3 linked regions of the Daphnia pulex genome follow. The protein of the gene in region 1 interacts with the protein of each later gene in a pairwise test. Links are inferred from orthologs where the notes say so. Each region holds a gene or a part of one and is shown in the gene's direction. Other genes may lie near its edges.

Region 1 (4,368 bases):
GGAGCAAAGCTCTAGAAACAACGGGTACCAGGGTTGGCTGGTTCAGACCGGACAAACAAATACAACGGTTGCTTTTTCCCTTCTTATTTTTTCAACGAAAAATTGGAGAAAAGGGAGGAAAGACAAACGCGGCTTGGTGGGGGTTGAAGGAAGGTTGCCATCTTGGATGGGACTTTTCCCAATTTGGTGCAACCACAACCCAAAAGCATTGACGTTGTCCATAAGAAAAGGGTACGAAAAGAAGGACAGTCAAGGAAGGGAAGAATGGAGTGGGAAAGAAAGGGGTCGGTCCCTCTTTTTTTCTCTCTCCCTTTGTCTTTCAATTCGTACACTTTCTTATGGACAATGTCAATGGTTTTTGGTTTGAGGTTGCACCAAACTGGGAAATGTCCCATCCAAGATGGCATCCTCGAACCACTCTATTCCAGGGCAACGCAAAAAGATCAATATTAGTTGGCCATAACTGATCATTCTTTCCAAACACTTCTGGATCCAATATCCAGTCGCTAGCAGTGATAAGGAGATGGGCCACTCTGTGTAAAGTCCAGCAGTCGACATTTTGCCCCCTCCCCCTCTTCAGACGACGAATTCGACTGCGCTGCTCCTTTCGGCGAGCTCCGGAAGCATTTCCCAGTAGTTCTCCCCCTTCAGGACCGCCCCTATCGCAAAGTAAGGCAAAGCTTCCGGAGCTCGAGGAAGCAAAAAGGCCATGCCGCTGACGCAGTTAATTTTGAAATATTGTATTAATTTTAAAATGTGAGAATTACCTGCTGCATTAAGCTGACCAAACTTTATGAGGCCAAAGCAAGCTATCAATACGGCAGTGGTGCAAACAGACAAATACAGTGTTGAAACCAGAGCTATAGATGATGGTAGAACCACTGCCTGTAAAATTTTCCTCTAAAAATTTTTTTCTAAAGTTGCAGCCAATATCGCGAATCGAAAGTGGAAATATGTGCTTACGTATCGATTTAGACCTAATTGTCAGCGCCAGCGGCCATCTACTGAATCTTTTTTAATTTTAGTACTGGAAAAAAAATATGTTTCCCAACACACCCGCTGTGGCTCTGTAACTAAGGTCTCCAGCCAGAACACTTCCAGGAGGAAAAGGCAATGGAAGGCCTTTCCTTATAAATGGTTCTACCATACATCTATAACTCTGCTGAAACGGAAAAAAGTGGTGCCGAACTCGACGAAACTGGGGCGGAAAAAAAGTGGCGAAACTGGTTGCAACCGTCCAACTGCTCAATAAACTTTCAGGCAACCTGCGATCATCGATTTATTATTCCCACGATAGATGTCGTGGTAATAGAAAGTTTTGACGGTTGTGCAGGTCATGGTGCCGGTTGTGCATGAAGTCCATCAAGTACGCCTTCATTTGTGTCCATCATGCTACGACATCTTTCGTGGCACTCGGCTTCAACCAAGCAGTACAGCATCAGTCAGCCAGCAACAGCATGCAGTCAGTATGGTCAAGTAAATGGTACTTTTCGCCCTCTGTTGAATAAAACAACTGCTAATCGTTGAAGTGGTTTGTTGGTTTGTCGAGCTCGACGAATAGGAAATAGGCCTATATTATTTTTCGTAGAAATTACATTCTCTTCATTGTTATAGTCTTCTGTACATTGTAAAGTGTATCAGTGTATATCATTTGCGAATAGTGTTTGACTCTGAGGGGCAGAATCTTAATATTGGTTTGGTCGTTATTGGCCTGGACAGAGAATTGTCTTAAAAAGGTTTATGATGGACGATATAATTAGCCATTCACGTAAGCCTGTTGTGTGTCGCTATTTTGCCGCCTCTGGAACTTGTTTTTATGGAAATGATTGTCAGTTTTTGCACAACTCAGTTTCTCGATCAAGCGTTTCACCTACATTTCCATTGAATTCATTTTCATCTCCAGTTCGCTCAGTCAGTTCCACTGCTTCAAATTCGACAGAGTTTAGTTTGTCAGTTATAGAGAGTAATTGCTTACATCAATCATTTGGGAAGAATGTAAACACAATTCCGTTGTCTAATTCTGCAATTTTAATTAAAGATGAATACGTGCAGAAATCACAAGAGTTACCCATATCACCAGATTTGCAAATAGCTGGAGGTTCTAATTCGTCCCTTTTTGAGGTATGTGTGTTCTGTTCATTGTAATCTATTGTTGTATCTAATAAGTTGTTTTGCACAACTCAGGAAAATGTTGGAGGTACCACTTATTACTACACGCCAGATGAAAATGTGAAACCCACTGTAGAAGAACCAATAATTGGAAAACACAGTCAAATTACTGAAAAAATGTCTCACACTTCTCTTTTAAATAGAAGAATTCAATCACCAAATCAATTGGTCTCAACATCACAAAATCAGATGTACTCAGTTTATAGTGGACCTTCCAGTTTTTTACAGAGCTGTAGTGGTCAGCAGAGATCTTCTTTTTTTATGAATGAAGATATAAGAGCTGACTTACTTCAAAGAAATTCAGTTGCATTATCTATATCAGACCCTGCTTTGTTTCCAGGTATAGCCAACTTATTTCATGTCCTAAGTTTATATTTTATTATTTAAGAAACACTTTATCTGAGCTGTTTGATTGTAGCAATCAATTTTATTACAAACATACATTAACTTTATGAAGTATCTAAATTGCATACATTCTTTTAATTAGATTTGCCAACGGAAGTTGATCACTATCATGAGTTGGTCCCCCTTGAAACCCACACTTTGAATCATGCTGTCAAGTCTAACACTTATGGCTTAATTACATCTACATATAAAGCATCAAATAGCAGAACCGGCATGAGATATTGCTTGAAAAGGATTCATGGTAATATTTAAATGAATAAAAACTTTAAACTGAATCTTCTTACCTAATATATAACCTTACAAAAAAGAAGTATTGAGATTTATTGGAGTATTATTATTGTTTATAATATCTTTAGGTTACAGAGTGACAAGTGCTAAATGTATGTCAATGGTAGAGTTATGGAGGAAAGTGCAGCAGTGTCATTTAGTGACTTTGCGAGAAGCATTCACTACCAAGGCCTTCGGTGACCATTCTATAGTTTTTGCATATGATTATTACCCTGGAGCTGAAACACTTATGACTAAGTATTTGGCTTCGACTGCTCCACACCTTGATCCATTCAGCAGTGACCCATCTGCTCCGCGTCCATATACAATGCAGAAAAACAGAATGCTGCAGCAACAAGCTGGCAAAGGTTGTTTTTGTGTTTTCATTATCATTATTATTTTATTGAGTATTTTATTTTATTTTTGATGCCTCCGCGTTTTTGCAAGGTGTGTTACCTGAATCTTTACTTTGGAGTTACATAATCGAATTGTGCTCGGCGTTGAGATCAGTACATTCTGCTGGTTTGGCTGTAAGAGCATTAGATCCATCTAAAGTACTTATAACTTCAAGAGGCCGTTTGCGTTTGTGCGGTGGTGGAATTTTTGATGTACTTACCTATGACTCTAGTTCTTCCAACATCACAGCTTTGCTTCCTCATTATCAGGTATGTAAAATTTTCCTTTTGTAACATACTTATTGTTATATAGTTGATGTTTAACTGTCATCATTTATGACTAAAAATGAAGCAAGAAGACCTTTTGGCCTTGGGTAAACTTATTCTTGCCCTGGCTTGTAATTCGTTGTTGGCACTTCAAAGGGATAATGTCTCTACATCTATGGATATCATCAATAAAAATTATTCTTCAGATCTGCGCAATTTGGTGATGTGAGTATTTTTTAATATTATATGTAGATACGTTAAAAACTGCAATCTGGGTTAGAACTATCTATACTCTGTAAAACTGCCCACTGAACTATGATTTCGTTAGGTATCTGCTCTCCACTACGCAAGGTTCAAGATCGAAAAACATACAGGAAGTGATGCCAATGATTGGAGCAAGGTTTTTCAGCCAGTTAGAAGCCGCCACTCTGCATGCCGACTATCTAGAAGATCAGCTAGCCAGAGAATTGGATAATGGCCGGTTATTTCGTTTGCTTGGAAAATTGGGAACCGTTGTTGATCGTCCAGAGTAAGGCAAATTAAATTGGTTAAGTTAGTCTAGTTACCTATCGAAGTAAACTTTATTGAATGTTTAAGGTTAAATTTGGATTCGACATGGTCAGAAACGGGAGACCGATATTTGCTTAAATTATTTCGCGACTACATGTTACATCCTTGTACGGATGATGGACGACCATGGGTCGATTTGGCCCACATTGTCGCATGTCTCAATCGACTAGATACTGCTTCTCATGACAAAGTAAGGACTTCATAATTTGAGAAAGAATTGAAGTGTATTATTATATTCTGCGTTGTTTTCCCCTACGTTCACTTGCATTAGATATGCTTAACATCTCGTGACCAA
Region 2 (4,103 bases), on another chromosome or scaffold:
AATCGGACACTACAGAAGGTCGAATGCAAACAGGAGGAACTGGAACACGGGTGAGAATCATGTCCTTTGGATGCCCATGTTCAGGATTCATCACCAAAAATTGGATATCTTCGTCTGGAATTCTCTCAAACAGATGAAGTACTTCAAGTGGATTTAACATTTTAACCAAGCCAGATGACAACATTGGTTCAATCTCCTTGTTGAACTGCACAGCATTCTCATAAGCCACTAACTCATTTTTTAAAATAACGTTGTCTTTCTTGATACTTCTAAATTTTTCATGGGATATCTTCAGCATGCCACACTTTTTCACCATGCCATTGATGTCATTGCAGTTTGGGCAGCGTGTTACTTTTTTGCATACTTCTTGAATTTGCTTCCTCAGTGCTTTCTTATTTAGATAAGGTATTTTTGAACCCTTTAGTTTGGCTCTGTAAATTTTTCTCATCTTTTCATTAAGCATTACATGAGAGCAAGATTTGCAAATTGTTTGCAAGATAGTAATTACAGCCTTGAAGTATCCAACATGGAAAACTGGAAGTTCCAAATCAATGTAACCAAAATGGCCTACACATTCTGTCAGCCCTTTTCCGCAAGTACCACATATTGCATCTTTAACACTCATCCCCTATGAAAAAATAGCAGTTAAGTGTGGATCTCTTTAAATATTTAAAGAGTAAATTACCATTCTTCTGTCCAACATTCCATACTGCATAGGTGTTCGTCCAGCATCTCGGTTATACAAATTCTGAGCTACCACTTGAATGTGAGATTGCTGTTGTATTTGTTGCGGACTTTCAATTCCAAAGCTTACTCTTGCTCTAAAAGTACATAATCGTATTTAATCTTCTATACCTATACTAATGTGAATTAGAATTTTGAGTGTTAAAAAAACTTACATTTTTCTAATAACGTCAGTCTCACGGTATTGCTCCTTCACCATCGTTAAAACTAGTTTTCAATCATCCACTTGAAATAGTTTAAAATGATAAAATAATTGAAATGAAGAAATAAAAAGCACGTGTTACACCGGCATCGATCAGACGAATTATTGATGGCAGGAAAAGACTAAAGAGTGATGAGCTTTTTTTCTTTTCGTAATGAATTCGTCGTCAACTAGTGTTGACTATGTTGACTATCTAAGTAAGTTAACAAACGCAGCCCCTAGGTGGCACTTTACAGCAAAACGAAACGAAATGTCTTGAAGTTGAAAGATGGATTTCAATGTTGGCGTTTTTTCAGAGAAATCTTCGATTTTAATTGATGGTGGAGATAGATTTGGTGTGTCCGCAATTCATTGGGACCTTCAGGAAGAGCTGCTTTGGGTTGGTAATCAAGGAGGACATGTCACTAGTTATTATGGCTCTTCTCTACACAAATACACATCATTCCAAGTTCATGCATCTCAAGAAGTCAGACAGATGATTTCTTTTGATGCTGGTTTACTTATAGTAACCCCAAACACTCTTAGATGCCAACAAAGGAGAGGTGTCCCATTATTCACTTACAGGTTTGCATAATTGAGTGTAAATTTTCTAAATTGTTTACGTAAGAAAATCATCCACAATATATCATAAAAATAACAATTTAATATAAACTTCTTCTAGCTCAAGTACTTGTGAAGATCTACAATGCTTGTTACAAACAGGGCCCACAACAGTTCTACTTGGAGGACACCAACCGCTGGTAGTAGAATTTGACCTTGTGACAGCGAAGGAAACAACAAAAGTAAAGTGAAGTTAAAAACCATAACCTCCATAACATTTATGATAAATATATTTCTATTGGTTTATTAGTTTGATGTAGGAGAAAAGGGATGTGCAATTCTGAGACGACACCCTAGATTTATCTGCTCAGGTACAAAAATTCTTATGAAATACACAAATAAAAATTCATCCTTCCTTAAATAACTAGGTGACGCTAGTGGATGCGTATCATTAAGAGATCCTCGAACTTTACGTGAAGAGCATAAATTTGTAGCACATACTGAAAGCCTTTCAGATTTTGATGTTCATAACAACTTGATTGTGACTTGTGGGTTTTCATCCAGGTAATTTTTCTATATTATATAACAGAAGTAAGTTAAATTATCCAGTTGTACTTATTAAATAGGCAGGGAGGTGTGGTTTCGGATCGCTTTTTGAAAATTTACGATGTTAGAATGTTACGAGCTCTCAGTCCAGTTCCTGTGGTCGGAGAACCATTTCTATTGCGGTTCTTACCAGCATTCTCGTCCCAATTGGCGGTTATCTCTGCCATGGGACAGTTACAGGTTCTTGATGCAGCTGCTCCTGCATCTTCAGCTCTTCAACTTTTCCAAGTGAATAACGAGGGTGCTATGTGCATGGCTCTTGAAGTTTCATCTTCTTGCCAATGCTTAGCTGTGGGGGATGCCGGTGGATATGTTCACACCTTTGCATCAAACGCATCAGCTTTATTTAACAGCTTTTCTCGACCGACGGAATTTGCCGATCCAGTAGAATCCCTTCCGGTTTCGATCGCCATGGACGATACTACGACGCCACTCACTTCAATCCCTTTCCCCTTAGAACACAATTCGCCGCTGCTATCAGATTGGCCGGAACAGTTTACCCGCAGGAGATTCCGTAAAGTTCCACCTATTGATCATGCTATTCTGTCAAATATGCGCATGGTAGGCACTATTGGTTATGCTCCAAGTCCAGCTGATCATAGACCTAATCAAGTGGCCTACTCAGCCGAAAAACGAACACAACGTGGTCAGAAACATTCGGGAACGGATTCAACACATTCAAAGGGTTAGTCTGAATTAATTTTTCACAATTTTTATGTTTTCACCATTTTTAGCCAATTTCCCTTACAGAAGATACTGAATGCTATCAAGTGTGGAAACGATATCGTCATATCGAGATGAGGTACACAAAGGGTGGCCTTGACGAAAATGAGTTAGCTCGTTACAATTCCACGCCCCTCTGCGGTTTGGATAATACACTTCCTTATTCATATGCAAACTCTTTGCTGCAGGTATGAGTCTGATTGCTTACATTTTGATCTGTGCATTTTGACTGTTCGTTTCTTAATTGAAGGTGTTATATTTCATTCCGGAATTACGTCATTGTCTTCTTGAGCATTCCTGCAACCGAGAATTTTGTCTTGCCTGTGAGCTGTCATTCCTTTTTCATATGCTGGATGTTGGTAGAAATCAAGATCCTACTAGTACTCCAGTTACAGTCCAACCATCTAATTTTCTTCGGGCTTTCCGCACTCTTCCCGAAGCTTCGGCAATGGGACTGTTGATGGCAGAAAATCATCCTGAAATAAAGATAAAAAGTACACTTCCTAGGCTTGCTCAGGTAATTTTCAGTTATATATTAGTTTCTCTTTGTGACACTGATTCAAAATATTTGTAAATTTAATGTTACAGAGCTGGGCTCGTTTTATTCTTCAACAACTTAGCAGCGAAACCTTGCCTCAAAGCAAGATAACAAAAGAATCGACCACAATTACAAGTAATTTAGTAGAATTTAACGGAGAAGGTACGGAAAATTCTATTAAACCGGAAAGAGATGTTTCACCTTCTGAGGATGGTCTGTCACCAGTGTCTCCTATCTCTAAACTGTTTGGTGTTGAACAAGAGCAGATTAGCCGCTGCACAAAATGTGGAAGCGAAAATTCTAAAACTTCGCCTGTGCTTCTCTCTTCCCTTACTCTGCAAGATGTGGAGGGTTAGTGACATATATTTTTTATTATACCTAATTTACAAGGCACTTTGTCTATATTTTACTCACTCGATCAATAGATGAACACAGCTTCGAACATGTACTTGAAAAGAGTTTTGACGTAGCAAGTGTGACTCCGGCCTGGTGTGAAGTTTGTCAAAAATATCAAGCAACTCAGCAAAGAAGACGTTGTCTAACATTACCGCCAGTTCTTGCTCTGTCCTGTGCTAACGATACCTATAAAGGTTTTCGATTTTGGTCAGATCAACTACAAGTAAACTTTTAATATTCATAATGCACAGTTTAACACGAAACTAATAATTCGTTTACTCAGTGTTTTTTAGACCCTGAACTATTCGATGGATCAGATTTGACAGAAGGGGCGTCCGTCCAGTCTGGGCAAGG
Region 3 (4,028 bases), on another chromosome or scaffold:
TGTGGGTCGGCTGCTGCTGCTGAGATGTCTACCGTGTTCGTGTGAGTGGCCGATTGCGCGCATCACTGGCCTTTTGATCAGCCCACGTGACCAGTTTTGCAAGATGCCTAAAGCGAATTTTTTGTTTGGTTGAAAAGAATATAGAAAACCGTCTGGTGTTGCTGGACGACAACCATGTAGGTTCTTCTTGACCACTGTGTGTATATGCAATATGAATTGGTGTCCAGTATAAAAGCCGCACAATTCCAACAGATTGAAACTGTGTAGACCATCTATATTTGGGTGATGGATAGTATACAGTTTCACATTGTGATTGCCATGTTTCAGACAAACTTCCGTATTGCGTGTTGATACTTAAATGCTGGCCGATAGTTTTGGGGGTAAAACAGCACGTACGCATCCACATGTCTGATCATATATAGCACAGTAAAACGTGAGAGCGTTCGCTTGTACTTTGCCCAGGTGGGCACAACAACACAACCTAGTCAGAAAAAAAAAATAAATAATAAAATAAAAGAAGATTTTTTTTTCTTTTTTCTTTTTCCAGGTCACTGGACGCGCAATCCCTGCGGACAATCTGGCACACGACGAATTGGGAATGCGCTTAATTCAAGCATAAGGTTTGCCGGCCAACTCTAGCCCCTGGGCTGGTACGAACCTAGTAGTATAATGAAACCGCCACAGATCGAAATTCAGTGGATAGTCTTCGGATACTTTCACGTGGCAAATGGTGCTTCTTCCATATAGTTCGCGGTTGATTCTTTTTATATCCGTACACCCGAACATTTCAATGCACACGAAAAAATAAAGCAATTCGCAATAGACATTGCACATAGCGTGTGTTTGTTCGACAGAAATCCGCACTCAAATTTGGAAAATTTAAACCCACATGTGAACTTGCGATGATTAATATTAAGGATCACACCTAGCAATGTTGTTGATTTGCTTAGTTGTGATAGCTTTTTAATTGGGTATGTCCTCTTTTTCCGACATCGGGTGCGTGGAATATAGCTCCTGACCTGTACTTTTTTTCCCGCTTGGCACTATTAATATACCCGTGTCCGCAGGAGCCATAATTTAAAGACACACTGTATTAGAGGTGAGACTGCGCATATGTTTCGTAACAAGGGCGATTTCCGTCTCGAATGGTATTGCTATTCCTAAACCCTTGGTCCTCCAACATGTAGTTGCATTTGGTTTACTAGGCGATTAACTAGAAGGATCTGCCAGTTTTTAATTTCTCATTTTATTTCGCGGACAGTTTCTCTGATTCTATATTAACTCTAGCCTTTCAAATAGGGGACTAAACATGGAGATAAAAGTTGACGAGTTGTATAATTCTGTTGAAGTTATTTTTTATTGCATAAAACTTGGGAGGATTTGTATTTCGAAAGGCCATATTTCGTCAACAGTCTTGTTTTTTCGGGGGATTCTGAGATGGCGTCTAGATGGCGTTCCATATATTTGCAAATGGGCGTGGCAAATAAAATGTGGAATGAAGTAGATTAGTCGAAGTACAGATGTCGCTACCAACTACGAAACGAAGCAGACAGCATTATAATAGTTACAGCTGTCAAGTGTTGGCATTTAACATCAAGCTGAGATTTAACGAGCAAGCTCATAGAATTTCTCAAAAGAGCTTGTAATCTTGATTTTCAGTTATTTAACTACAATTCACTTTATTTTTAGTTATTTTTTTAGTTATCATTCATATAAAAGCTATTTAGGTTTTTCACCTCCGCTGACATGCCGTGCTGGTACTACGAAAAGAAAGATCTGAAAAGGGAGACTCCTTCTATTCACGATGGCATCGATTTTGAAACGGAGTCTCGCTACCGGAAAGAAGGAGCACGTTTTATTATTGATACTGGAACAAAAATGGGACTTCGTTATGACACAATGGCAACTGGAGTGGTTTACTTCCATCGATTCTACATGTTTCACTCTTTCAAAGAGTTTCCTCGATATGTCACTGCATGCTGCTGGTACCTTTTATACTTGAATAGCATATTTGCATAATGATTCATGCTAATGTCCTTTAAATTTCTTTACAGTCTGTTCCTTGCTGGCAAAGTTGAAGAAACACCCAAAAAGTGCAAAGACATTATTAAAGTTGCAAAAGCGTCATTGTCAGAAGCGCAGTTTCAACAATTTGGTGAAGATGCCAAGGTAACATCTTGAATTGCTATATCTTTCTCTAACTATATCTCTTGTATTCTATAGTTTGGTCTCAAACATAATGTTTTCTTTCACTTATTTATAAAAGGAAGAGGTAATGACACTTGAAAGAATTTTACTGCAGACCATAAGATTTGACCTTCAAGTTGAACATCCATACGGTTACCTTATAAAGTATGCCAAATCCCTTAAAGGTAAGCAGAGTTTTATCTTCCAAAATCACTGATTTTAAATTATACTATTGATTAATTTCTGAAGGAGATAAATCCAAACTTCAAAAAATGGTGCAGATGGCATGGACATTTGTTAATGATAGGTGAGCAAAAGCCGTGCTCTGATAAGCAATTATTGTTTTTGCTGTGTTAATCTGATTTTACCTACACTTACTATATTTTGTTATTTTAGCTTATGCACCACATTATGTTTACAATGGGAACCAGAAGTGATTGCCATCGCTCTCATGTATTTGGCTGGGAAATTAAGTAAATTTGAAATAACGGATTGGAGCGGTAGACAGCCACGGCATATACGATGGTGGGATATGTTTGTAGAGGACATCAGTTTAGAAATACTGGAAGGTATTCTCTCACTTATCGGACGTTATATTTTTTTCTTCTTACTAACGCTGGAATAATTTTATTCTTTTCTAGATATCTGTCACCAAGTATTAGATTTATATTCCCAACAGCCTGCACGATCAGATTCCCCTCAAGGGAACGCGGGACTCGTTCCGACGAAAGTACAGCCTGTTTTACCAATTACGACTCCCACGAAGCCAGTTAGTGGGCGTAGCGCTGGAGGATTCGATCAACGATTAGACGCTATGCAACCTAAAGTCGAAGTAGCTGCGGCAGCGGGATACGTGAATTACGCAATGGGGGTCACCAATACTAATTCTTTACCTGTTGGCGTTCCACCCAACATAAACGTGGCTCCGCCTATCAATGTGCCTCATCCACTTCCACCACCACCAGTCGGACATTCGTTTCCATATCCAGGTTATCCTATGATACCTCCTACAGCGAATCCCCCTGTTCCTCCGACTCCACCACAAGTTTACCCTCCTCCGCTTCCGCCAACGCAATCAGCTCCCTTTTACCCAACATATCCTTCTTTCCCTGGGCAAGTGTATCCTCCTACGCCAACTTCATCACAACCACTTCCTCCTCCGCCTCGCCCATATTAAAAGTTTGAAATATAACTTTAGGTCTTAGCAATTTCTAAGTTAAATTTTATTGTTCTTTTTCATCAAAATTCTCTTTAGTAGTAGAACTATCATACAACTGTCGAACAAAATGCAGAATAGGAAGAACTCCTACATTGTTCATGGCTGAAACAGGGAAGAGAGGTAGATTAATTTTTTCAACATACTGCTTTAGTTCTTTGAGGTTTATGGTTGATTGGGGCAAGTCCATCTTGTTGGCTAAAACACCAGAGGGTCTTTCGAGTAGATGTGGATCGTACTGTTCCAGTTCATATCGGAGGACTTCAAGTTGCTGCCATGGTTCAGGCAACGAGGCATCCACGACATATAGCAAACAAAGGCACCGTTCAATATGACGCAGAAATGCAATTCCCAATCCTCGATTGCGGTGCGCCCCGGCGATCAATCCCGGAATGTCTGCAACTATTTGAGACACAAATAAAATTGTAAAAAATCAATATAAAAAAAAAGTTGATCTCAGATACCAGTCACTTGTTGGAGGTCGTCGTATTTTACAACTCCTACGTGTGGCTGCAATGTGGTGAATGGATATGGAGCTACCTTAGGTCTAGCACGAGAGATAGACCGTAGGAAAGTAGATTTCCCAGCATTTGGAAGTCCGATCTTCAAAGGATAATTATTTCAA

Evidence for each region.
Region 2: the proteins of PAN2-PAN3 deadenylation complex subunit pan3-like (region 1) and PAN2-PAN3 deadenylation complex catalytic subunit PAN2-like interact in binary tests that used the Drosophila melanogaster proteins (3 or more experiments, as listed by UniProt). The link is inferred for Daphnia pulex from reciprocal best matches to the Drosophila melanogaster genes PAN3 and PAN2.
Region 3: the proteins of PAN2-PAN3 deadenylation complex subunit pan3-like (region 1) and cyclin-K-like interact in a two-hybrid assay, tested with the Drosophila melanogaster proteins (3 studies listed by BioGRID). The link is inferred for Daphnia pulex from reciprocal best matches to the Drosophila melanogaster genes PAN3 and CycK.

What each region holds. Positions count from the first base shown.
Region 1 is NC_060025.1:5,199,247-5,203,614, reverse strand, and holds the start of PAN2-PAN3 deadenylation complex subunit pan3-like, read left to right. Parts: upstream 1-1,503; 5' UTR 1,504-1,740; coding exon 1,741-2,121; intron 2,122-2,184; coding exon 2,185-2,509; intron 2,510-2,656; coding exon 2,657-2,815; intron 2,816-2,930; coding exon 2,931-3,209; intron 3,210-3,288; coding exon 3,289-3,506; intron 3,507-3,588; coding exon 3,589-3,728; intron 3,729-3,831; coding exon 3,832-4,032; intron 4,033-4,100; coding exon 4,101-4,263; intron 4,264-4,344; coding exon 4,345-4,368. UniProt on the Drosophila melanogaster protein: Regulatory subunit of the poly(A)-nuclease (PAN) deadenylation complex, one of two cytoplasmic mRNA deadenylases involved in general and miRNA-mediated mRNA turnover.
Region 2 is NC_060021.1:6,585,366-6,589,468, reverse strand, and holds the start of PAN2-PAN3 deadenylation complex catalytic subunit PAN2-like, read left to right. Parts: upstream 1-1,167; 5' UTR 1,168-1,214; coding exon 1,215-1,510; intron 1,511-1,607; coding exon 1,608-1,728; intron 1,729-1,796; coding exon 1,797-1,857; intron 1,858-1,914; coding exon 1,915-2,050; intron 2,051-2,112; coding exon 2,113-2,777; intron 2,778-2,842; coding exon 2,843-3,003; intron 3,004-3,065; coding exon 3,066-3,332; intron 3,333-3,403; coding exon 3,404-3,704; intron 3,705-3,778; coding exon 3,779-3,972; intron 3,973-4,032; coding exon 4,033-4,103. Other genes in the region: DNA-directed RNA polymerase III subunit RPC1-like, read right to left, coding at 1-628, 686-821, 900-943. UniProt on the Drosophila melanogaster protein: Catalytic subunit of the poly(A)-nuclease (PAN) deadenylation complex, one of two cytoplasmic mRNA deadenylases involved in general and miRNA-mediated mRNA turnover.
Region 3 is NC_060021.1:10,001,306-10,005,333, reverse strand, and holds cyclin-K-like, read left to right. Parts: upstream 1-1,505; 5' UTR 1,506-1,520; coding exon 1,521-1,642; exon of another isoform or gene 1,643-1,727; coding exon 1,728-1,985; intron 1,986-2,054; coding exon 2,055-2,169; intron 2,170-2,266; coding exon 2,267-2,372; intron 2,373-2,436; coding exon 2,437-2,494; intron 2,495-2,583; coding exon 2,584-2,756; intron 2,757-2,828; coding exon 2,829-3,364; 3' UTR 3,365-3,391; downstream 3,392-4,028. Other genes in the region: GTPase Obg-like, read right to left, coding at 3,411-3,805, 3,868-4,006.